3 linked regions of the Diceros bicornis minor genome follow. The protein of the gene in region 3 interacts with the protein of the main gene of each other region in a biochemical or structural test. Links are inferred from orthologs where the notes say so. Each region holds a gene or a part of one and is shown on either strand. Other genes may lie near its edges.

The links. The genes of interacting proteins can lie anywhere in the genome.
Region 1: of the proteins of PRKAA1 (region 3) and RACK1, one has a biochemical effect on the other in vitro, tested with the Homo sapiens proteins (2 studies listed by BioGRID). The link is inferred for Diceros bicornis minor from reciprocal best matches to the Homo sapiens genes PRKAA1 and RACK1.
Region 2: the proteins of PRKAA1 (region 3) and CFTR form a complex in vitro, tested with the Homo sapiens proteins (2 studies listed by BioGRID, with this or other methods). The link is inferred for Diceros bicornis minor from reciprocal best matches to the Homo sapiens genes PRKAA1 and CFTR.

The regions. Positions count from the first base shown.
Region 1 is NC_080740.1:94,223,841-94,230,955, forward strand, and holds the start of RACK1 (small ribosomal subunit protein RACK1), read right to left. Parts: upstream 3,067-7,115; 5' UTR 2,784-3,066; coding exon 2,675-2,783; intron 2,373-2,674; exon of another isoform or gene 2,305-2,372; intron 1,622-2,304; coding exon 1,450-1,621; intron 1,159-1,449; exon of another isoform or gene 1,080-1,158; intron 918-1,079; coding exon 770-917; intron 531-769; coding exon 435-530; intron 28-434; coding exon 1-27. UniProt on the Homo sapiens protein: Scaffolding protein involved in the recruitment, assembly and/or regulation of a variety of signaling molecules. Interacts with a wide variety of proteins and plays a role in many cellular processes.
Region 2 is NC_080742.1:68,339,092-68,346,848, forward strand, and holds the start of CFTR (cystic fibrosis transmembrane conductance regulator), read left to right. Parts: upstream 1-4,691; 5' UTR 4,692-4,732; coding exon 4,733-4,785; intron 4,786-7,757. UniProt on the Homo sapiens protein: Epithelial ion channel that plays an important role in the regulation of epithelial ion and water transport and fluid homeostasis. Mediates the transport of chloride ions across the cell membrane.
Region 3 is NC_080759.1:29,093,154-29,101,138, reverse strand, and holds the start of PRKAA1 (5'-AMP-activated protein kinase catalytic subunit alpha-1), read right to left. Parts: upstream 3,069-7,985; 5' UTR 3,018-3,068; coding exon 2,891-3,017; intron 1,689-2,890; exon of another isoform or gene 1,567-1,688; coding exon of another isoform or gene 1,557-1,566; intron 1-1,556. UniProt on the Homo sapiens protein: Catalytic subunit of AMP-activated protein kinase (AMPK), an energy sensor protein kinase that plays a key role in regulating cellular energy metabolism.

The DNA of each region.
Region 1 (7,115 bases), on a different chromosome or scaffold from region 3:
CAGCTTGCAGTTTGCCAAATTCCACACCTAAGTTTGGGGAGTGGGGGGGTCATAGGTAAAGAACCTGGCTCTGAATCAGCCAGGGTCAGGAGGGCTCAAGCCAAACAAAAAAAGGCACAGGCATCTTGTTTAAAAGCATTCCTGAATAGGGTAGCCGTTTTTCTTTCCATCACTAACAAAAAAGGTTAAAGAATTTGTCTAGGCCACAGGAAAGCAATTAGGATTAAAACAGGTAACAAATGCTATGTGTGCTGCCTTTCAATTAGCTACTTCAGACCAAATATCAAAAACTGATGGGCTGTACTGAGAAAATAGCAAAAGGAAAAATGTCAATCGCGGCACAAAGCTTTCAAAGTTGGAGGCTATGACCACCTGGGAAGAAGCAGGTACATATGCTGGCTGGTAAAGTCCCTACACCCCTGCTCCAAGCTCACCTTGACTAGCTTGTCCCAGCCACAGGAGACAATGATGGGATTGCTGCTGTTGGGTGAGAAGCGGACGCAAGACACCCACTCCGAGTGGCTCTCATCCTACAGAGAATGGAAAGGAAATAAGGCAAAACTGTCTTGTCCCATAAAACTCTAGACCCCCACCCCTCCCCTCAGTTACATGGGATACATGTTGATAGCCTTGCATTCACATCCCAAGAACCCAAACCTTTAAGATCAACAGACCCCTTTTAGATTCCAGATGAGGCTTGAATCACCAGATACAGCCAAGGTTAAGAAGGATGGGAGAAAACCTTCAACAACATGTGCCTTCACTTTACCTGGACAGTGTATTTGCATACACCCAGAGTATTCCATAGCTTGATGGTTTTATCACGGGAGCCAGAGACAATCTGCCGGTTGTCAGAGGAGAAGGCCACACTCAGCACATCCTTGGTATGTCCCACAAATCGGCGTGTGGTGGTGCCCCTGAGAGGGAAGACTTGGTCACTCTCTCGACTTTGCAAACATTCTTCCACAGTCAGACTATTTCCCTGGGGACCTTGTTCCTGTCCTAGTGGAGCTGCATTACTCACACAACCCTGGTCATGGCTCTGATCACAGCAGGTGGTTGGCTGAGATATGTCAGAGAATCCCTTCAGAATTGCAGGACATGTCCTCATTCCCACGTGGGGATTGGCTGACAATGTCGTCTGTCATCACTGGGATCCTCTATTATGCCTGACCATCCCAAGACTGAGCTCCCAAAATAAAACATGTTCAAACTGTCGCCTACTCCCAACTGCAATATCTGACAAAACTGCTCACCAGACCACTCCTCAACAATTCTGCATCACTCATTAAGAGCAACGAGAAGGAAAACCAAACAACGCCAACCATCTCTAGGTGCTCTTTGCCTTACAGTGCCCTCAACGGACCTAATCGCCCCTGGGAAACCACTTCCCAACAGTATCTACCTCTTTTCTGCCCAGGCCCCAGAGCTAAGTGAGCAGCTACTTGCGTTGTGAGATCCCAGAGGCGAAGGGTTCCATCCCAGGAGCCTGAGAGGGCAAACTGGCCATCTGAAGAGATGACCACATCACTAACAAAGTGGGAGTGACCCCGAAGAGCACGCTGTGGGATGCCGTAGTTGGTCTCATCCCGGGTCAGCTTCCACATGATGATGGTCTTGTCTAAGAAAAGGTAAAACAAAAAAGGAAATCCAGTTACAAACCTCGACACTCACTTGCTGACCTACAGGACAACCCAAGATGCCTCAAGGTCACTGAGACTTACAAAACGACAAATTAAGGACACTTAAGTGGGGAGGGTAACTGCAGGCTATAAAAGTGGTTACTTGTCAAATCCAAGTGACTCACTATTCAAGAATAAACAGCCAAATAGACCTAAGCAGTACCACGAGAATTTAACTGAAGTGAGCAGAACTTTATTAAAGACCATGGATTCCCCTTTCCGATATTCAGACCACTTCAACATCTACTTCGAGACTTACCTGAGGTCTAATGCACAAACAGAGCAGCCTGGCTGTGGGAAGACGAACTATGGGCGACTACTGCTAAGGGCTACCAGAGTGCTGAAATTAGGAAAACTTGCTTTATACGCTACAGGATCGGATGCTTTCACTGACATGTGTAGCACTCAGGGAGCTTTTAAGTACAAGACATGATCCTAGCCTCAGACAAGCGTCAACAGTGTGGGCACAAACGGAAGGCACAAGAAGCCTCCAAACGCAGTCACGCACACGGAGAAGGAAAAAAAACAGGGCAGAAAGGGCAGGCGCGGGGCAGCCGGGAAACTGAAGTCATGAGGTCCCCTTGGAGTCCACCCACTTCCCACCCAGCAGAGGTCCGGGCGGCAGCTCAGAAACAGCCTCTGGGTCTCAGCATGGGCTCTCAGATGGCATGTTGGGTTCATCACTGCCCCGCCCGATCGGTAGGTTTCTGGGCACACACTTAGCCACACCTGCACGGAGGCGGGCAAGAAATAAGAGAAAAACACCCAACCCCGCAACTCCCTGGCAGCTAAGAGCTGATCTATGTCTCGGTAGCTGCTAAGCGGGGATGCCTTAGGGATTTATCTTGGCTGAGGCCTAGGCAAAGATCTGCATGGCCCAACTCACACCCGGACGGAGTTTTCCGGGCAGCCAACTCGCGCGCCACTGGCCTAGCCCGCAGTGCATGCAACCCCCTTCTCCCCCAATCCTCTGCCCCACACCTCAGCCATACCTCGCGAGGCCGACAGTATCATGTCTGGGAACTGGGGAGTGGTAGCGATCTGGGTCACCCAGCCGTTGTGGCCCTTGAGGGTGCCACGAAGGGTCATCTGTTCAGTCATGGCGGTGGCGGGTGCGAGTGTCGCCGCAGCGACGAGGATGGAACCGGATAGCTCAGAGACACGACCACTACAGCCACTCGCGCTGCCGCCCCGCCGAGGAAAAGAGAGAACAACCTACGCCGGAACCGGATATACCCGCCTTCTCGAACAAAATGGCGACCGCTGTGCGTCACTCCTGCTCAAGATGGCGGTGCCATGTAGCCCATAGGACTGGGTGAAATAACAGGACCTCATGGTCCCCTCCGCCACGCAACATAACTTGGCAGCGCCGTACAAATACGTTCTGAAATCAACACGACCGAGTCCTTAAAAAGGATCCTCAGGTGTCGACTGAGGCGTGACGTCTGAGCCGAAGAATAGGGGAGGCGCGCGGCGCGTTCCCAGAAGGCTCGCCCGGCCGCCTGACGGCTCCTACGTGGCGCAGCGCGAGCCCCGCCTCTCCGCTCGGCGGCTGGGGGCGCCACGGAGAGGGAGCCTAAAGCCGAGGTCGCAACTCTGAGTGATGGTGGGCGATGTGAGAAAAACGGTACTAAACTTTTTAAATAAACGGTGCTCGGGTGAACTATTAAACCCTAACAGATTTCCATGCGCAGAAGGCTGCTCTTCCCTCAAGAGGTTTGTGCCCTGATGGTATTGGCCGAGGCACTCCGGGTCCGGAGGGACTTAATGCAAAGCCAGACTAAGGCGAGAGTGAGGTATGGAGCGGAAAGCCGGCGGCGAACGAAAGAAAAGTCGGTCTGTGGGCCGCGGGACGGCCACCCCGCCCCGCCTAGGCTGCGCGGAGAGCCCCCGCAGGAACGGAACGGCCCGGGAGGACGCACCTCCGGGTTCGACCCCTGGGGCCTAATCACCCTCCAGGGTGGCCCGCGGCCCGGGGGGCCAAGCGTGCCCTGAAGGAGGCGCGCGCACAGGGAGGCAGTGGAACGTGGGTCCCTGGCTGCCTGCCGGCCTCACGTTCCGCCGCACGGCGCGTGAATCTGTGGAGCCTCCCGCTCCCGCACATCCCCTGACTAGGAGAGACTGCTGGGAGCGCCCCTCTCAGATATTTTTTCAAGGCGGGGCAGCACAGATCTGGATGATAGCCGCCGCTATCGTCTGTGCAAAATAAAGGGCGGATTGTACATAGTATTTTGTTTTCTCTTTGGAGGATGTATTAGCCTTAGTTTCTCACCTGTGAAATGAGATTGGAAATACTGGTACCTACCTCACGTGGTGTTGTGGAGAGTAACTGAGTTAAGAGAAAGTTAAGGTAAAGCACCCAGAACAACGCCTGGCAGAATAAATGCACGCAGCTTACTTAGTGAGCACCTCTTGGGTTCCAGGCCCTGTTTTAGGTCTTGAGGATACAACTGTGAACAAGACAGATGAGACCTTTTTTTTTTTGGAGTTTACATTCGGTGGGGTGGGGGAGGGCAAGGTGACGGGGCGATCGGAGCAAAGACTCGAAGAAGGTGTGAGGGGGTGGGAGGCAGTTGACAAAGGGCCTCGTAGGCTTGGGGAAGGACCTCGGCTCCTCAGGGCGCTGTCCTGGCTGTGCTCCTCCATAGCCTGATGACTCCTCCATCGCTTGCCTCTTTGGCACCCCCAACTCGCTGTCCTTTAGCTTTTCCAACACTGAACTCGACCCGACCCACATGTTTTGCTTCTCCTGTGGTCGTGGGGACCCCTCCCTTCACTCACCGCAATATCAAGCTCGCTGTCCACGATTCTGGTCGTGCCTGCGCCTTCCTTGGCGCTCGGCACAAATGGAGACGTGAGCGACTCCACGCGTGCCTGTACACGCAGAGGATTTCCTCGGCCCTTAAGAGCACTCGCTCCTTCACCTCCTACCTCCTCTCCCCAAAGACATCATCATTCAGTCACATTATTACAGTTTTCCCGCCTCGAAAATCCGGCTCTCTGTTTCTTGAACATTGCCCAGGGAGCTCCTGTGGAATCAGCATCCGTGAGGTACAGCCTCCAGGTCCCTCACGAATGCTCCAGGATGGGACCTTTGCACCGCTGACCCCTTTCCAGAAGCCGGCAGGTCCCATGCGAGCCCCGCCCCCTGGTTCCCCCTGCCCACCTCTTCCCGGCCCCTCCCGGAGTTCTCCCCGCCCCGCCTCCCGAGACCCAGGCCGCGGAAGGTGCCCTTCGCTTCGCGCGGGTCAGTGGGTCCCTTCCCACGACCGTCCGTGACTCTATAAGACGATTCTGGCAGTGCCCTCCCCATCCCCCCGCCTCTTTAGAGCCGAAAGGGGAATTCGGCTGTTGCGCTGGAGCCCACGAGGACCGCGATGGCGATGCCAGCAGAGGAGAGGGAGAAATGGAATGTGGTGGACTTCCCCGACGACCAGACCCGACCAGACCCTGCCGGCTTCAGGCTTTCCACCTCGGAGTTTTCTTCCAACCACCCCCGGCCTCTCCTGTCTTGGTGGGGATGCTGGTGAGCCACAATGCCACTGAAGGACAGTCCTGAGCCGAGGGAGGTGCCGCCCCGACCCTGAGGACCACATCGGCTGCAGCGAGGGGCGGGGACGGGCGTGCATCAGCCGCCTTTCCCTCTCAGCCCCAGCTGGACTTTAGCCCTATCCACACCTGCTTCCCTCAGGGGCCCCGCGGCTCCCTCCAGGCATACAGGCCCCCACCTGGCCAGGGTCAGGGTCCCACCTGGACGCCTCACTCCTTCCGGGGAGGGCTCTCGGTCAGCAAAGGGAGCCCGACCCCTTCTAGCGGGGTGACATCTCTAAGCTGTGGGATGCGTCTGAGAATCAGCCGCGCGCCTCCCACAACAAAGTCTACTACCTGTGCTGGCTGGGTTGAGCCTTTGGGCTTCTTCTCACCTAGGGCGTCTCTTCTCCAACCTCACAGAGGTGGAAGCCTGCTGGTGGCCCCCACCCAGCCTTTGGGGAAGACTCTTCGCAGAGCTTCTCCCAGCTCCTTCCTCCCCTCCATGCCCTGTGGGCAGAACCTGTCCTAGCTGGGCTCTCCACTCCGGCCCCGCCCACCACTCCTGGCCCAGAGTTCACCTGCATCTTACCCACTTTTCCTCTGAGCCCCTGAGCTGCCCCTCTCTCCCCTCACCCCACGCGCCCCATTTCCATTCCATACAAGGTAAGAATCCCAAGGAAGAAATTGGAGAGGCTTTTCTAAGGAAGTCCGTCTCACCATTCCTCTTGTGGAGGGAGCCCACAAGGACCTGCACAGCTGGAAAGAGCCTTTTGGGTTTCCCTGCCAGAGCCTTATGACCTCTTCTCCAGGAGCAGAAGCCTCCATCTCCTATTACCAGCATTTAGGAGGTGAGACAGGTCTTCCCTTGAATGCTGAGGTGAGGGCTGTTGTAGGTGGTGGTGGAGGGGCTGGGGAAAAGGTGTGTGGCCAGGACCAGAGAGCCTGCTGACTGCCAGCTCAGGGCTGGGTGACTTCCCTTTGTTTTACTGCCCTGATGCAGATTCAGTGTGGTTAGCTCTGGCATGCTCCATACTGTGTTTTGTGGCTACACAGGCCCTCCCCTGCTCCTCCAATTCATCAGTTCTCTCCCACACAGCACTACACACTGTTTTTCTGCCTGGAAGGCCCACCATATCCCACCCTCCTTTTCTTAGTTAAATCTAAGCTTCCTTCTGGTGTCAGCACAGGTTGCCAAGTCAGGGAAGCCCTCTGTGACCCTCAGGTGTAGGTCAGGCTCCTTTGTTTCAAGCTCTCCTAGCAGTGGTGCAGCGTGTGCTGGGCCTTCACAGCATTTAGCTCAATTGGTCATCATTTGAATCCCTCAGGGCTCTCCTCTGAGTGCCCTAAGGATGGGGACTAATCAGTTTCTGCTCACAGGTTGCATTCCCAGCACCTGGTAGATGGTTTGGCTTGTGGAAGATTCTAATCTTGGTGGCCAGCCTCACAGGCTGAGTAGTTAAGGGCAAGTAGTTAAAGGGAGGGCGTTCCAGGCAGAGAGATCAGCATGGGAAGAGGTATACAAGTGGTTTGTGTGCCCAGGTTTGGGAGGGATGGTTTCAAGAAGGAAGGTAAGAGTGAAACCCAAGGTGGGCAGGGAGCCCTAGTCTCAAGGAATTGACTGCTAAGGAATCTGGATTTTGTCCTGAAGCCTAGGGCCTCCCTTTAGGATTATCTCAGCCTTCTCCTGCCTATACTTGATTTTGCTGAAAGACATTTATTGTCAGTGTGGAAGCTAGGTTGCAGGAGTAAGACTAGAAGCAGGAAGAGTTCAGAAGCTGGGCAGGAGGGTTCCTAGGAGGGTCATGAAAGTCCTATGAAGGGAGGGACTAAGGATATACCAATGGCCTTATGAGTGAGGTGTTGAGCATCTCTTCCAACCCATCTCTCTGCTCCCTACCCCCA
Region 2 (7,757 bases), on a different chromosome or scaffold from region 3:
ACCAGGGAGCTAAGTAAGCAGTGGTGCCAGGATTGTAAACCTAGCTCTTTATTGCCTCAAAGCCCAAGCTCTTTCCACTATACTCTGCTACCATCTTCAGAGAACTTTGGTGACCAGTGGTAGATTCTGAGTTTTGAAGGGTAGAGATCCTGCCTTATTCTGTATACCTGCCTTAGCACTGAGTTCTTGCTTGCTGAAATATTAGTGGTAACAATTCATCTCTTGAGCATCTTCAGATTTCCCCTTTAGGAAGATATTTCAACTATTAGGTCAGTAACCCCACGAGAAAATCGTTGTTTGATTGTATATACTGTATTACTAAATAAGAGATGAGTAAAAGGAAAACAGAAGACACAATTCCTGTCTTCAAGGATGTTGTGGGGAAGAAGGGTTATGTATGTATATAAATAGAGGTATGTCTGCGTGTGTGTTTATAAACAGAATTGTCAGACCAAACATAATGTTGGAAGCAGTAAAAGTAATGAAAGTCTGACCTAATCATATGCCAGGACACCTCTCTCTGGGTCTGAAACATCTTTGTCAGACTGTAATGTATATTTACATCCTTGGTCATCACGGCGGCACACTGTGAAGAGCTTCGGCTGCTCTTACCCTCCTAGTTTAGGTAAATTTATAAGCAGAACCAGTTTATGCACATGAAGCTAACAAGGCCTTGCCCTTCTCTTTTTTGGTGAGCTTTTCTTCCTTACAGGGATGACTTTTTTCCTTTCTCCTTCTACTTTTCCAAGTTTTAGTTGGCCACTACTTAGCATGGTTAAAGCCCGTTCTCAGGAAAGAATCTGAGGAACACACTTAAATTAAATTGAAGATGATGAAGAAGTAAAGTATAGTGAAATTTTGCTCTGGTAATATCTAATGGTGAAACCTCAGCCATCACCTGGCAGAGTGAGTACCGTATGACAGGAAGGTTGTCTCTTATAGGTGTTCATCTATTGAGATCATTTGTAGGAAGCACATAGCACATTGCTGAACACATAGCAGGTACTAAATAAATGTTGGCTTCCTTCTCTGCTCTTCCTCCTCCTCCTCCTCTTCTTGCTTCTTTTTAATATACCTTTAAAATGGTGCCACACAATTGGTACACCCATGTTCATAGCAGTATTACTTACAATAGCTAAAACCCAAGTGTTCACTGATGGATGAATAGATAAACAAAATGTGGTGTGTATACATATACATATATATATATGTATACACAATAGAATATTATTCAGTGTTAAAAAGGAAATAAATTCTGCAATATGATACATGGAAAAATCTTGAGGACATTATGCCAAGTGAAATAAGCCAGTCACAAAAAAGACAAATACTGTATGATTCCACGTATATGAGGTACTTAGAGTAGTCAAAATCATAAAGACAGAAGTATAATGGTGGTTGCCAGGGGCTGTGGGGAGGGGAGAATTGGGAGTTAGTGTATAATGGGTTAGAGTTTCAGTTTTACAAGATGAAAAGAGTTATGGGGATGGATGGTGATGATGGTTGTGCAACAATGTGAATGTATTTAATAACACTAAACTGTACACTTAAAAATGGTTAAGATGGTGAATTTTATGTTATGTGTATTCTACCACAATAAAAAAAATGATGTCACAGATGGCCACCTAATCTTCTATATTCAAGATCAATTATGCTTAAAACATTAGGAAATTCTGTTGGGGAAGCATGTTTAGTGGTTAAACGATTGGGCTCAGGCAACAGGCTGTTTAGGTTCAAGTCGCAGTTTTCTTTGTTATTATTAACTCTGCAACTTGCTTGGGAAAATTACCAAACTTTCTGTACCTCAGTTTCTTTACCTGTAATATATGGATAATAGAGAAGTTACCTGTCCCATGAAGATGTTTATAAGAATTTAAAAAGGCAACACATGCTGTGCATTTGGCATGGCACCTGGCATATATGGTAAGTGCTCAACAAATGTAAGCAAGATTATAATCAAATTTTATGAGCTGATATTTGAGCAGCTTGGAGAGAAGAGCTTCACTGTTTCTTATTACCACCTTCCACTCTCATGCCAGCTTGTTGATCTCTTTCCTATTCCTGACATCTCAAAGATACATTTAGGATTCCAGCGATGACCTTCAGCTATATTTGAATACTTTCCCGGTGCATAAGTCTATATTCCCACATTAGGTATGTACCTAGATGCAAATCTTGAACATTATGTCTCAGTTAATTCATTTGTTCACGTCTGCTAAACAATGTTAACATTATGAATAGTAGTGAAGTCTTACTTATACCAAGAACAAATTTGGGATGTCATCTTTTATGATAAAAATCTAAGGTCTTCCTATGCACATGCTTGTGCACACACTTAAAATGGAATATTATAATTAAGTGTCATTTATTAAAATTATATAACTCCAGCAGCTACTTGGTTTGTCGATTTCTGCTTTCTTGTCTCAGTCTTGGAAAGGTCTAGCAATTATGATTTCATGAAACTAATGTGAGGAGAAAGACTGGGTTGGTGTGTAAGTGATTGTATATAAATATATGAGGGATGATTTGATTAGAAGCAATATTACACAATGATAGGATTGATGGTTTGAAATTAGACCTGAGTTCGAATCTTGGCTTTACCATTACAGGTATTGACTTAACTTCTCTTGTCTGTTTCCTCAACTGAGAATTGGGGAGAATGACATCTATTTACATGGTTGTTGTAAAGTTTACACGAGATAATGCCTGGCAAATAGTAAGAACTGAAGAAATAGTTACTATTTTATTTATTCTTTCCAGAAGGAAACTGATTGACAAATATTTGGGGTCTCTTTGAGCCATATCACTTGGTCAGCTTCTGTGATCTTTGGAACTTAATTCTTAATCCCTTTATTGTCACTTGCTCTTTGATAACAAAGAGAAAGTGATTACCAATTCATTTCAAAATGTGTGTATTACAGTTGATGGGTCATAGTAGCAGTTGTAAAGCAAACAACAGAGTGGGGGTGGGGAAGTGGATGGAGTAAGTTCAGTCACATACCTGGGAAAAGTCAATAATGAAGATGGAGCCTCAATGTGTATGTCTTACCAGAGAGAGGAAAACATGGGTACAAGATTTGAAGCAATAAATCAACTTAGAAATGCTGAAGTTCTTTCCTGGCATCAAACTTCATGCAATTTGGTTTCTCTCTTTGTTCTTATTTTCTCTACTACTAAAATTTAGGATAATAAAATTTAAATGTTTATAAAACCCACTTTAAGACAGAAAAAGTATGACCTTGAAATGCAAAGTGGAGCTATAAAAACTTGCTGAACGCGTTCATTAATTTAAATACATGTTCCTGTCTATTATTATGAAATGCATAATTTTGTTTGTACTGTATTTGGGTGACCACAAGTCAACAGTAAGGTAATTCACAAGTAAACACCCTGGCCTTAGATGTAGAGGCAATAAAGTAATCACACCAAAATTTTTACTTTCATTTGAATTTTTCAGTTTAAACTCAACGTGCCCTTGCTTTTACACAACAGGATTAGGGATTAAACACTTGGCTCTTTAAAAACCATCAGACAGGCACAAAATCTACACACCAAAAACTCGGGGAAGGTAAGGTGCCCACACCTGGGAAAGCTTAGATGAAGATGGCGTTTCTCTAAGTCAAGTCAGAGGTAACGCGCTACCTTCGCTGCAAAGACTGCTTGGATTCCTTTCTGTGTATTAGTCAAGATGTTTTGCTGACTGAGTCTAGGAAATCTACAGGAGGGCGGGTTAGGTTACACGCTGTCCACTTGTCATCGTAGTCTCTAACACACACAAAAGCCTTCCTTAAAAACGCAAGCCGGACTGAAAAACTTAGGACAGACAATGAACACATCCTGGGCGGGTAATGGACAAAGCGATAACTCCTCTTACCTTCTTATAGGATTCCACCCCCCGCCCCCATAAGTACATCTCCTAAGAGATCTCTGCTACAGTTGGAGCTCGCCTAAGCCTGAAAAGAACAAAGCTTGGTTCTTCTCTCTGACACTCAAAGGAAGCGCTAAGGTGAACACATCTGACACTGCCGCGGAACTTTCCGGCTCTCTATGGCTGCATTTTGATACAGGAAAGACATATTTTCGTTCCCCTTTCAAAATGCACCTTGCAAAGGTAACACGAACCCGGCTAGGATCTCGGAAAAGGGGAGGAGGAAGAAGGCTCGGAGAAGTTGGCAGCGGTGACTACCCGGTTCGGCAGAACCTGGCGTGTGGGAGGGTCCAGGAGCTTCCCCGGGGGGCTGGTTCTGCTCCTGCCGCTGGCTCTGTCGGTCCTCGAGCGTCGGAGACTGGACCTGGAGAGCGGCCGCGACTGTCCCCCACCTGCGGGCTGGGCTGGGGCTGGACGGTAGGGACGCGGACCTGCAAGGAGCGCGCGCGCGGGAGGAAGGCTGGGAGTCAGAATCGGGAAAGGGAGGCGCGGGGCGGCGAGGGAGGGAAGGAGGCGAGAAGGAAGGAGCGGTGGGGGTGCGGAGGGGGTGGAGAAAGCCGCTAGAGCAAGTTTAGGGCCGGACCAGGCAGCGCCGGCTTTTAACCTGGGCAGTGGGGGCGGGGGAAGGAGCAAGAGGAAACGGGAGGTGTGTGGGGTAGGGTGGGTTGGGGAGTTGGAAGCAAATGACATCACAGCAGGTCAAAGAAAAAGGGGCGAGCAGCAGGCACCGAGGAGAGTAGGGCGTTTGGCATTAGGAGCGCAAGCCCAGCCTGCCCCGGAGGGATCCCGGCGCCCCCAGAGACCATGCAGAGGTCGCCTCTGGAAAAGGCCAGCGTCATCTCCAAACTTTTTTTCAGGTGAGAGGGTGTCCAGCCGAGCTTCGGAAGGACACGTGCCCGTGAAAGAGGAGGGCGTGTATAGGCTGGATTCTGGGGAAAGAGGAATAGTTTTTAAAAAGATGCGCTATCATTCGTTGTTGTGGAAGAGAACGTGGATTTTGTGGAATAAAATAGAAAACATTAAGAAGAGATAAAAGAATAAACTGAAGCCCATTGTTTGGGTAGAGAGCCTTAGCTTAATATTGAAGTCTTAACTACTTGCAACTGAAAGTCAGGCTCTCAAGACCCAAGTGTGCTACTGTGCATTGTTGTTTTAGATTTTTCTAAGAAATTTATGAATTATAAACTTGTTAATAGCAAATACTTAAGTTTGGTTACTTGTTTTCCCCCTTCCTGCCTTGGAAACTCAGATGTCTTCTTGGCACACAGACAACAATGCCATGCCTGCCTGTAGTAGGTGCTCAGGAAACATTTGTTGACTGAATTTTGAACTTTTTAAGGGGAGAGGGGTGAAGCGAGTAATATGTGCTTAAGTAAAGTTTTTATTGTTATGATACTCAGTAAATCGAACAAGCATTTGCCGCAATTCCATTATTCTTCCTTTTAAGAATGAAAGCAAATGTTTTGAAATATCTATCTTAAAAAAAAAGCCAATTTACGAGCTATAAATTTTAAAAGAGGGGTCAGAATTATCATGGAAATGTGAAGCCATGGGAATAGACTCAAGTTATATCCAATTGACATTTAATAAATTGTACTCATCCTATTTTGCATGCGATAAGCCATAAAAGCTTGCAAACTTCATCTAATGAGATTTTTAAAAATAGAGTCTAAGTTCAGAGTCTTAGGCAAAGTGTAATTAGATGTAGCATTTCATATTTGAAGTCTTCTTTGGATACTATATCTGCTTTGTTCCTGTTAAACTTGTATGAATGAATGAATAGGTACAGCTCTCCCATGGGATATTGCTTGACTCATAATTATCCAATGAATCAGCATACTTAAGGTATCAGAAAAGCCAAATATATTATAAATATGCCCATATGTGTGTGTTGAGAAGGTACTCGGCTTTCACATCTTTCTATGTTTTATTCCCTGCATGAGCAATAAGCCTGGGACTTAGGTGCTAAGGAGAGGCCATTGACCGTTGAAGGAGAGCTCCTCCCTGTGGATGAGAGAGAAGGACTTTACTCTTTGGAATTAATCTTTTGTGTTGATGTTTTTAGCACCTTTTGTTACTCCATCTATAAAAATTGGATTATCTGTTGATCTATTTTCCTACTACTTACCAAATCAGAATGCTAACTGGCATAAATTGTAGACTTTTTAGTAGAGCACTTTGAGGAACCTAAATGCCAGTCAGTGTAAAAATGCAGTTTTCAGAAGAATGAATATCCCATGGCTACTTCTAAGTACTAAGTACTAAGGAACTTTCAATGAGCTCATTGTTGATTTAAATTAGATCATTGTTGATCTATTAAAGTTTTTTTTTAAACAGATCCCCTTATAAATTTTAGTATAGTTTAAAAAATGCTCTCAGGTTGATTTGTAAAAAAAAAAAAAAAAATGTATTATAGTGGCTACTAGATTTGTTAAGAGCATACTCATTCCTCTTCTCCAAACTATTTCATAACAAGTTGCTCTAAGAATAGGTATATTTAAAAAAGTTAAGTTCCTACTATTTATAGGAACTGACAATGACCTAAAGTATCAGTGATTATAAACTTCCTTCTGGGTTGCAATTCTGAAAGGATAAGAAATTTATTTTCTGGGTTGAATTAGACAGTACTGCTTAGGGATCAAGGGTGTTAGATTTTGGATTTGGATTCTTTTGATTCAAATCCCAGATCTGCTACTTAGTAGCTGTGTGACCTGAGGCAAGTCCCTTAACATTTCTGTGTTTGTGTGACTTGACCTTTAAAACTTGGAGACTAATAGGACCTATGTCATAGGGGTTAATCTGTTGAGAATAATGCATGTAAAGTGTTTGGCCCAGTAAATGTTGGCTGTTATTATTATTATTATTATTAATTACCATACTTTTACATTCTTTACAATACCACATACCTTGTTTATATAAGATAATCAGTTCATCTTTGTTGAATATAATTCGTGACTTTCAGTCTGTATATGCAATGAATGGGCCTGGTTGAGAATTTAGTTTAGGTAAAATCTCATCTAACATGGCCTTACTAGATGTATAGGAAAAAAGTCGTATGCTTATATCATGTGTTGTTAAATGCCTTAGAATTTAACATTCTGAATATGATCCCTTCAGTCTCAGAGTCATAAAAAAATAAAGCTATTATGGTCTGGGTTATGGATTATATTAAATATCTCTTTCATTATTTAGGTTTTGTTATTGGAAAAGTTAATAAAATTTGGGAAAAATTTAAGTACTTTCTTAATTTTGCATGAGTTTCACATCAAGTACAAAATCTGAAGTGTCGTAATGCTTATATATGTATTTTAATAAACATAATCTAAAAAAGAATTTTAACACAAAATTTAAAATAGTTTATGAATATCATAGAAAACAAGTAGATTAACTTAAAGCTTTTATGAAATAGGAAGATGTTTTTGAACTAGAGGTGATATATTTGCATAGAATTTATGATTCATATACAGTGACAGTGATTTATAAATGTTTACCAACAGAGATGATGTTTTTCATTTTTGAGCAATTTTCCAAGTTTACATTTTCTTTTCTTTTTTTTTTTTCGTGAGGAAGATTGTCCCTGAGCTAACATCTGTGCCCATCTTCCTCTAATTTGTATGTGGGACACTGCCACAGCACGGCTTGATGAGCGATGTAAGTCCATGCCCGGGATCCGAACCTGTGAACCCCGAGCTGCCAAAGTGGAGTGTGCAAACTTAACCACTATGCACCCAGGCCAGCCCCCCAAAGTTTACATTTTCTGATAACTTTTAAGATAGTTATTCAGTTTGTTTTCTCTCTTTTCTCTCATGCCCTGAATTTTCCATATTCT
Region 3 (7,985 bases):
TTTCCCCTCAAAATATTACAATTAAGTTACCAATGGATTTTTTAGCCTGTAACAGGAAACAAAATAATCACTATGAATTTACAGTTCCCTCCTCCCCAAAATTAAATTTCTTCTAAGCACAGAGCACTATATTGGGAATTTTTCTGCCTACCAATATCACATCTTCTATTATATTCCTTTTCTATGTTAAATTTACCAACATGTATAACTAATTTTAAAAGTTCTATCTACTCCGAATTGTCTCCACTGACACATACAGCTAACCGTATTATTCAAAGGAGTCTTGTCAAATTAAGGCTAGTGTAAGTTACCATCACCACTATAGTAGCTATTTTTGCCTGCTCATCAAGCATTTGGGGGACTGTATGTCCCCCTTTCTCTAGCCTAACAATTAATACTCATTTCTGTGTAGGTATCGACCCTGTCTCCCTACACTATCCAAGTACTTCAGAAGAAAATGGGGGCAGGCCCCGTGGTGTAGTGGTTAAGTGCGCTCGCTCCGTTGCTGGAGGCCCGGGTTCGGATCCCAGACTCGCACTGATGCACCGCTTGTCAAGCCATGCTGAGGCAGCATCCCACGTAAAGTGGAGAAAGATGGGCATAGATGTCAGCCCAGGGCCAGTCTTCCTCAGCAAAAAGAGGAGGATTGGCATTGGATGTTAGCTCAGAGCTGATCTTCCTCACAAAAAAAAAAAAAAAAGAAGAAGATGCACCCCACACACACACATCCAAGAGTGGGCCACATTCCTCCAAGGCTAATGCTATCTCCCTTGCGAGTGCCTACTTAGGAACAAGCGTAAGCCAACTGGCATCCCCTGGCCAGAGGGACTGGATGAGCCAATGAGACCCATGAGAGGTACGCTGGGGATTCCTTGCTCTGGAGAGAGAACCACAGAAAGAGATGTTCTTGATAGGTTGAGTTGGACTTTCTATTACTTGGGGCAAAAAGCATCCCAATCGTTTAACAACTTAAAAAAATGCACTAGCTGAGGATTTTGACCTACATCAACTAAGATATTTATAAACAAATGCAATCATATCTATGAAACCTATGATCCTTTGACTAATATTGGCCTTTCTATATTTGGAGAGGTTGTTGACTTTGACAGTGAGTGATACTTCAAGCGAGTCACATGTGGAGGAGTGAAGGTTAAGGAACAGCAGTCACTAAAGGGATTCATGTCACAGCCACACCACAGATCAAATCCAGAAAACGAAAAATTTCCTCTTGCTTTCTTATATGCCATGCCGAAAACCACCTCACAAATAAGAAAATGAGACCTGACTCTGCTCAAGTCTATGTTAGGAGAAAGATGAGCACCCTCATCCAAACAGAACTCTGGGCAGGGTGAGGGCATCAAGATTGTCATCACTATTTGGGGGGGTATTAATGAGCATTTCTTACAATACTTGTAAATGAAAAGCAGTTTGTAACCACTAACAAGAGACAGCATAGCCAAAAATAAATAACTTCAATGGCACAGAAACATCTTACTGGCCTGATACAGACCCACCCTAATAGCTGTTAGTACCCTATTCTGGCATTTGCTTCTTACTTTCTTGCATTGTTGGCCTTGCTGATTTTCATAAGAAGGTTTAGGCAGTTGCTTCCCTGTGGACTATACAGCAATTTTCCAGTTCTATGACTCAGAAAGGGCAAGAGAAGGAAGGGTTCTCCTCTTCCATCCCTAGATAAAATCAGAAAATGTTTATTTAGCTCTGGGAGAGCAAGGCTCAGTTAGTTAATTCACTGTACAGACTTTCACAAACTTTTTTTTCTTTCAAGTCAAATATTTACCAAGAGCTTAGCGTATGCAAGTCATAGTCTATTACTTATCCAAAGCCAAGGCGTGAATTATTTTGATCAGTTCCATACTTCCTTCCTCTACATCCCTAACAACAAAGTCAAATATTTTAAAGAAAAAAATACTTATGCCTCACAAAGTTTGCAATTAAGCTTTCTGTGCCAGAATTGGCGGACTGGAGAGCAAGTTTGTTATTTCCAGAATACTGTGTTGAAACACAAGGGTAAGAGATTCTGCACCTTTCTTTGAAAAGAAAAAAGGTTCACATGATGTGCACTAAATTGTTTATTAAAATGTAAATATCCTGTGAAAATAAATGGAAACGACTGCATTAATGAACTATTAAATACTATCTGGAGGCAACATCTGCACTAACTACCAGGTTTGGCACAGAGAGACCGCAAAACAGATCATTCAGAAACACCGAAGGCACGGAGTCTGCTTTCAGAACATAAACGATGCATCGCAAATAGAGGACCGGTATAAATTCATGACCTGCTTCGAAAAAAATTAGTGATCCTTTCTGACAAGATGGCCCTTAAAAAAAAAAAGAAAATCTGTAAGCTACTCCCAAAGCAGTCTAGTTTGGGGGGAACACATTATTTCACACTTGAGAATCAGCCGGGGCAGGGAAGCCGACAGCCTCTCAAGAGGACGGAAACACGGACAATGCCGAGGACGGCCAGGGAAGCGACGGGCTGGCCCCGCGCCGAGGGAGCAGAGCCGGGCGAACGCGGGGCCGCCTCCCCGGCGCCCCGACCCCGCACTCGGGGCGCGCCGCGCAGCCCCCGACTGCCCCGCCTGGGAAAGTTCGCACCTCCGCGTCCCCGCCCCTCGCACCGACGAGCCCCTCGGGCCGCGGCGCCGTCGCCATGGCAACCCGCCCCACCCCACCCCCTCCCAGCCCCGGAGGGCCGCGCCGCAGTCCCGCGGCGGCCCGGGGCTCCGCTCCCGCCGGAGCCCGGACAGGGACCGCCGAGCCCGGGAGACGAGGAACGCAGCGGGCGGGGAGGACGAAGAGGTGCGAGGGGCGCAAGCCGCCCGGATCCCGGGCTGGGGCCCAGCCTCGCGCCGGGGGTCCTCACCCTTCACTTTGCCGAACGTGCCGACCCCCAGCGTGTCCCCCAGGATGTAGTGGCCGATCTTCACCCGCCCGTCGTGTTTCTGCTTCTCGGCTGTCGCCATCTTTCTCCAGGAACTGAGTCTGCGCATGGCGCCGCGGGAGGGGGCGGAGGGGGCGGGCAGGGCCGCGCCGGGGGCGGGCGGCCGGGGAGGGGGGGGGTGGGGACGCGGGACGGGAGCCGCGGCGCCGAGCCGCCGCCCTGCGCCGCCCGCCGGGGCCCGGCCGCGGGCCGCCGGGCGCAGACGCTCCCCCTGGCGGGCCGGGGAGGGGTCGCTGCGAGGGGCGCGGGCACCCCCTTCCTCGCCGGGCATCCCTTCGGCCCCGGGCGCCCGCCCACCTGCGCGCGGGAGGGGTCTTCCTGGGTGGCGAAGGGCGGCAGCCCCTGGGCTCCTTCCCTGTTAGCGGAGTCTCTGCCCGCAGGGGTCTCCCTTGATTCTGACTCCTGGGTCGAGGAGACCGCTCTCCCCGTGATTCCGAGGGGCGAGTGAGCACTGGAGAAGCCCACTCGGGTAGGGCAGATGTGTGGCTTGTTACTAGTGCAGCGGGAATTGAAACATGGCAGGGGACAACGCCCTGCCACTGTTTTCTAACCTTTTCATTCGTCCCGTTCGGATGGAATCTGGAAGTCATCGAGAGTTGTCACTTGGATCTTTGATGGAGTGCCCCCTCCCCCTCACCCGCCGCCGCCGCCGCCGCCGCCACTCTTTTTTTACTTTGAGCCAGGAAGTTGTACTGGGCACCTCCGCAGCTCAAGTAGCGTCGTCGGTCTGTCCTCTTGCTAGATGCTCTCCTGAAGTTTCCTCCCCGAAGCAAGCCAAAGCAAGCTCTGTTGGAAGGAGCAGGTTGGGGATGTGTGTGAATGTATGTGTTCAGAAAGTGGGATGTTGCCCAGACATTTTGATGTATAGGAATTAATACTTTTAGATTATCGGTAAAATGTAGACTTGGAACTGAAAACGAGGCTTACAGTTGCATCAACGAAATCAATCGGCAAATATTTATTGTACTTGCAGTGAGTAAGATTTAGCTATTATCTGTAGAAATGGGATCATGTCATATCACAGTGGAAGCGGAGAAAGTATGCTTATTTGTAATAGAATTTTTAAGTGAGTTTGTCAGTCAGTTATGTTCCTCTAACGTGGGCAAAATCAAGTGGCCAAAAAAACCAGTTTATATGATCTCAGTTTTGCAGTGTCATAGCATTTGGGCCAGAGTCAATGAACAAAGAGTTGGACTCTTCATGAAAATAATATTTAAAAAAAAGAATAAAAATGTTATCTTTTTTCTTCCCAATGAAAGCTCCCCAACTCTCCTGATTTTTACATACTTTCTATTTATGAAATCAAAATAACATGCATTAAGCACTGCTTTTTTCCAAGTGAGGTACTGCAGGGAAAGCAAAAGCCTTTGAGCTTAGACTTACATCAAATAAGCAGAGAAGAGTCACAGCTAGCCTTGGATGAATAATCAGTTCCTGCCGCATTATGGACTGCACATATTTTGAAGGGCCAAAAAGTTAAGAAATCTGTGATTACCGAGATGTTTGGGAGGCGGGCAGTGGTTGATGTTGTAATTTTTGCTCCCTGGTTTCTTGACCTTTACTTGTTTGCCTTGTGAGTCTCTGCAGCTCAGAAATAGCTCTCTGGATTCTCTTAGGGGAAAAAAAAACTAATTTTTCCCCTCAGAAATAGCACCGTAAATTACTTTAAATTTGCATCATGTCTAGAATTTAGCCTAGAAAGGTTCTGTTATTTCTTTTAACCTAAAAGAAAAAAATCACAAGGTACCTCAGCTCTATACCCTGCCAGTTAAGCCACAGAGCATCTTACAGGGGGGCAAACTGAAGCTGAATTTTGCAAACCCGTTGCCAATCTCTTCGTGAAACTATGAAGACCCAATTAAGAAAGTAATATAAACTTTTTTTAGCAGAAGCATCAGTTTGTTTCTGTGTTGGTGTTATTTTAGATGATAATTTGATTTAATAAATATTCATTAAATGCCACTATTCACTCAAAAGCATTGTTGTGGAAATAAAACCTAGAATCATAGACCAAAGAATTGAGTGGGAACTTAGAGGTCATCTTATCCAGTCTTCCATAGTCTCTGTTTAAGCAGCTTTTATTTATTTTTTTCCTTAAGTTGAGTTAAAAATTGAATTCAATTAACAGTGTCTAAGAAAGTAAATAGTAAGCCTCCTTTATTCCTTTGCTTTTTCTTTCCTTCATCTCTTATTAAAAGTTTTTGTCACATTTTCTTCCACTCTCTCTTCCCTTCATTCTCCCATTGATCCATCCCCAAACCTTCACTCCTTTCTTTCTTCAAGCATTTATTAACTGCCAGACACTGTGGATAGATACAAAATGAGAACTCATGGGCCCTACCCTGGAGGAGCTCATAGGCTAGGATAGCAGTTCTCTGTATGCCCGTTCCCCATCCTATCCCCCAGGATAGATAATATTCAGATGCTCAACATTGTTCCAGGGTAGAAGTGAAGGTAAGGTAACCTGTGGCTTACACCCAGTTTCCAGACCCATCATTTGTAACTCTACCCCTATCTCAGCAAAGTATATTGGAATTTAAGTGGGGACGAGTGACTTCACAGAAGTAACCTTGAATCCACTCTAGTTTAAGAGGGGGGCTAAAAGTAAATTGTTTTAAAACTTCAGTACTTCGGCTTTTATTAGTACAAATACGTTACATTATATCTCAGCGCTGATGAAGACATACCAGGATGACCCAATATCGTGGTGGAGAACCTCTGGTCTCCTGGAGGAGCTCGGGAGTTAGTTGTGAGCTGCTTCCTCTGTAGCTCTTCAGAGATTCTAAGGGAGCTGTGGGCCTCTTACTCTTTTCTTGTTAAGGCCGTCATAGTGTTAGTAGACCCTATGCTGTCAGGTGGATAGTATACTTCCTCAATATCTATCTCTAAATATGGTGGCCAGAACTAAAAACTCTAAGTACTATGGTGCTATTAATGCAGCCTAATATATCCTTAGCTTAGTTGTAGTTACATTGTAACTAATATTCAATATTTATTAAACAACTAAGTAGGTATTAGGCAGTTTGCTGGACTCTGAGGACTCAGAAAACAACAGAACACAGTATCTTCCTTCGAGTGGCAAAGTAATGTGATAGGTGCTGTAATAAAAACATATATATGGTCCTCAAAGGGCATCATGAGAGGAGGGCATAACCTTTATCTGTGGGGGTCCGCAAAGGCTTGAACTTGAATATATTTAAGGGAGTGTTAAGAGATGGTGTTTTCTACTCAAAGAAAAGGGTGGCATGAGGGATAGAGGAATTTGGGGAAAGCATCCTGGGTGAGGAAGGAGCATATGCAGAATCACAGCTATAGGCTTTTCAGGGAAGAGCAAGTGGTTACAGGGGATGAAATCTGAATGTACAGAGGGACTTGTTAGAAGAAACGAGAGAGAAACAGGACTAAATCCTGGAAGGCCTCATATGTGCTTCTCAGGGACATTATCTTAGAGAGAGTGATGAGCCACGGGAGGATGTGAAGTAGATGCATTTTAGAAATGCATTCTTTACCAAAGAAATTGATAGCTATGGGTACCTTTGGGAAGGGAAACTGGCTGACTAAGAGTCAGGTGCAAGGGGCAGACTTTTTTCCCTGTGTATCCTTTTGTAACTTCTTGGTTTTGAACCTTATACATGTATTACTGAGTTGAAAAAGTTAACTGTTAGAGGGGCTGGCCCCGTGACCTAGTGGTTAAGTTCAGCATGCTCTACTTCAGCAGCCCCGGTTCTCTGGTTCAGATCCCAGGCATGGACCTGCACCACTTGTTAGTGGCCGTGCTATGGTGGCGATTCACATACAAAACGGAGGAAGATTGGCACAGATGTTAGCTCAGGGCGACTCTTCCTCAAGCAAAAAGAGGAAGATTGGCAATAGATGTTATCTTGGGGTGAATCTTCCTCAGCAAAAAAAAAAAAAAAAAGAAAGAACGAATGAATCCTATTTGTAACATTAAGGCATCTAAGAGACATTCAGGTATAGAGATCCATGAATATACTGGTAATACAGGGCTATTACTCCAAAGAAATGACAGTCTAGACATACAGATTGGGTATCATTACCAAACAAATGGCAGATGAAGTAGGGCAGTGAGTATGAATGAGATCTCCCCAGTTTGTAGAGTTAAGGGATCCAAGGACAGAACACTTACTTAGAGAGAATGGATAATTAAGAAGATCCAGAAGCTAATATAAGCCTTTGGAAGAGACAGAAAGAAAAGCAGTCAGTTTATATTCGAAACTCCCAAGGAAGTTACAGTGATTAAAATTAATTTGTGGATAATTGTCCACTGTTTAACTAGGGTAGATGATTCCTAACTCTGGGTTTGAAATCTTTTTATGTTAAAATGTTTGCAACCCCCTCATGATTATGAATTTTAAGCTTCAATTACTCTTGTAGAATTAGGCCCAGAACTGTTTCCTAGACAAAATCTTAGCACTGTTCACAAAGACTCCCTTGACCCATCTCTTGGTAGCTGTGGTTGGTTGGTCCTGGTTAGGTTCCTTACTGTTAACAAGAAAATGTCAACCCTGCCCCCCTCTCAAATGACTTGAGTATCAGGCACGTGGATCTATCCATGATCAGCAGCACAAAGTATATTCATTCACCAAAAAATGTAGCTCCAAACTCCTTGCTGCCCTATTCTTAGCAGTTAAGGGAAATAATATCCTTGGATGGCTGCTTGAAGGATAGGCTGATAGTCTAATTGTACCCTTGGATCACTTGAGACTATCAGAGAGGGAGAAGTAATTGGACTGTCCTGTTTCTGGTTGCTGTTAGACTTATTTTTACTCAATTTGATAATACAAGGGGCTGATAAACATGTGCATGCCTTGAATAGGCTAATAATTTGGTTCTCCATTCAGGCTAGTAATATGGTCCCCTTCAAAACAATATTCTTGGTTCAACATTTATTTCAGTGGAAAGGGAGAGAAAGAGGATGCTGGAGCCGTGTCCCAGGGAACAAAGATTCTGTGGTTACCAGACCCTAACTTCTTAGGCAGTAGTTAACGGGCCATCT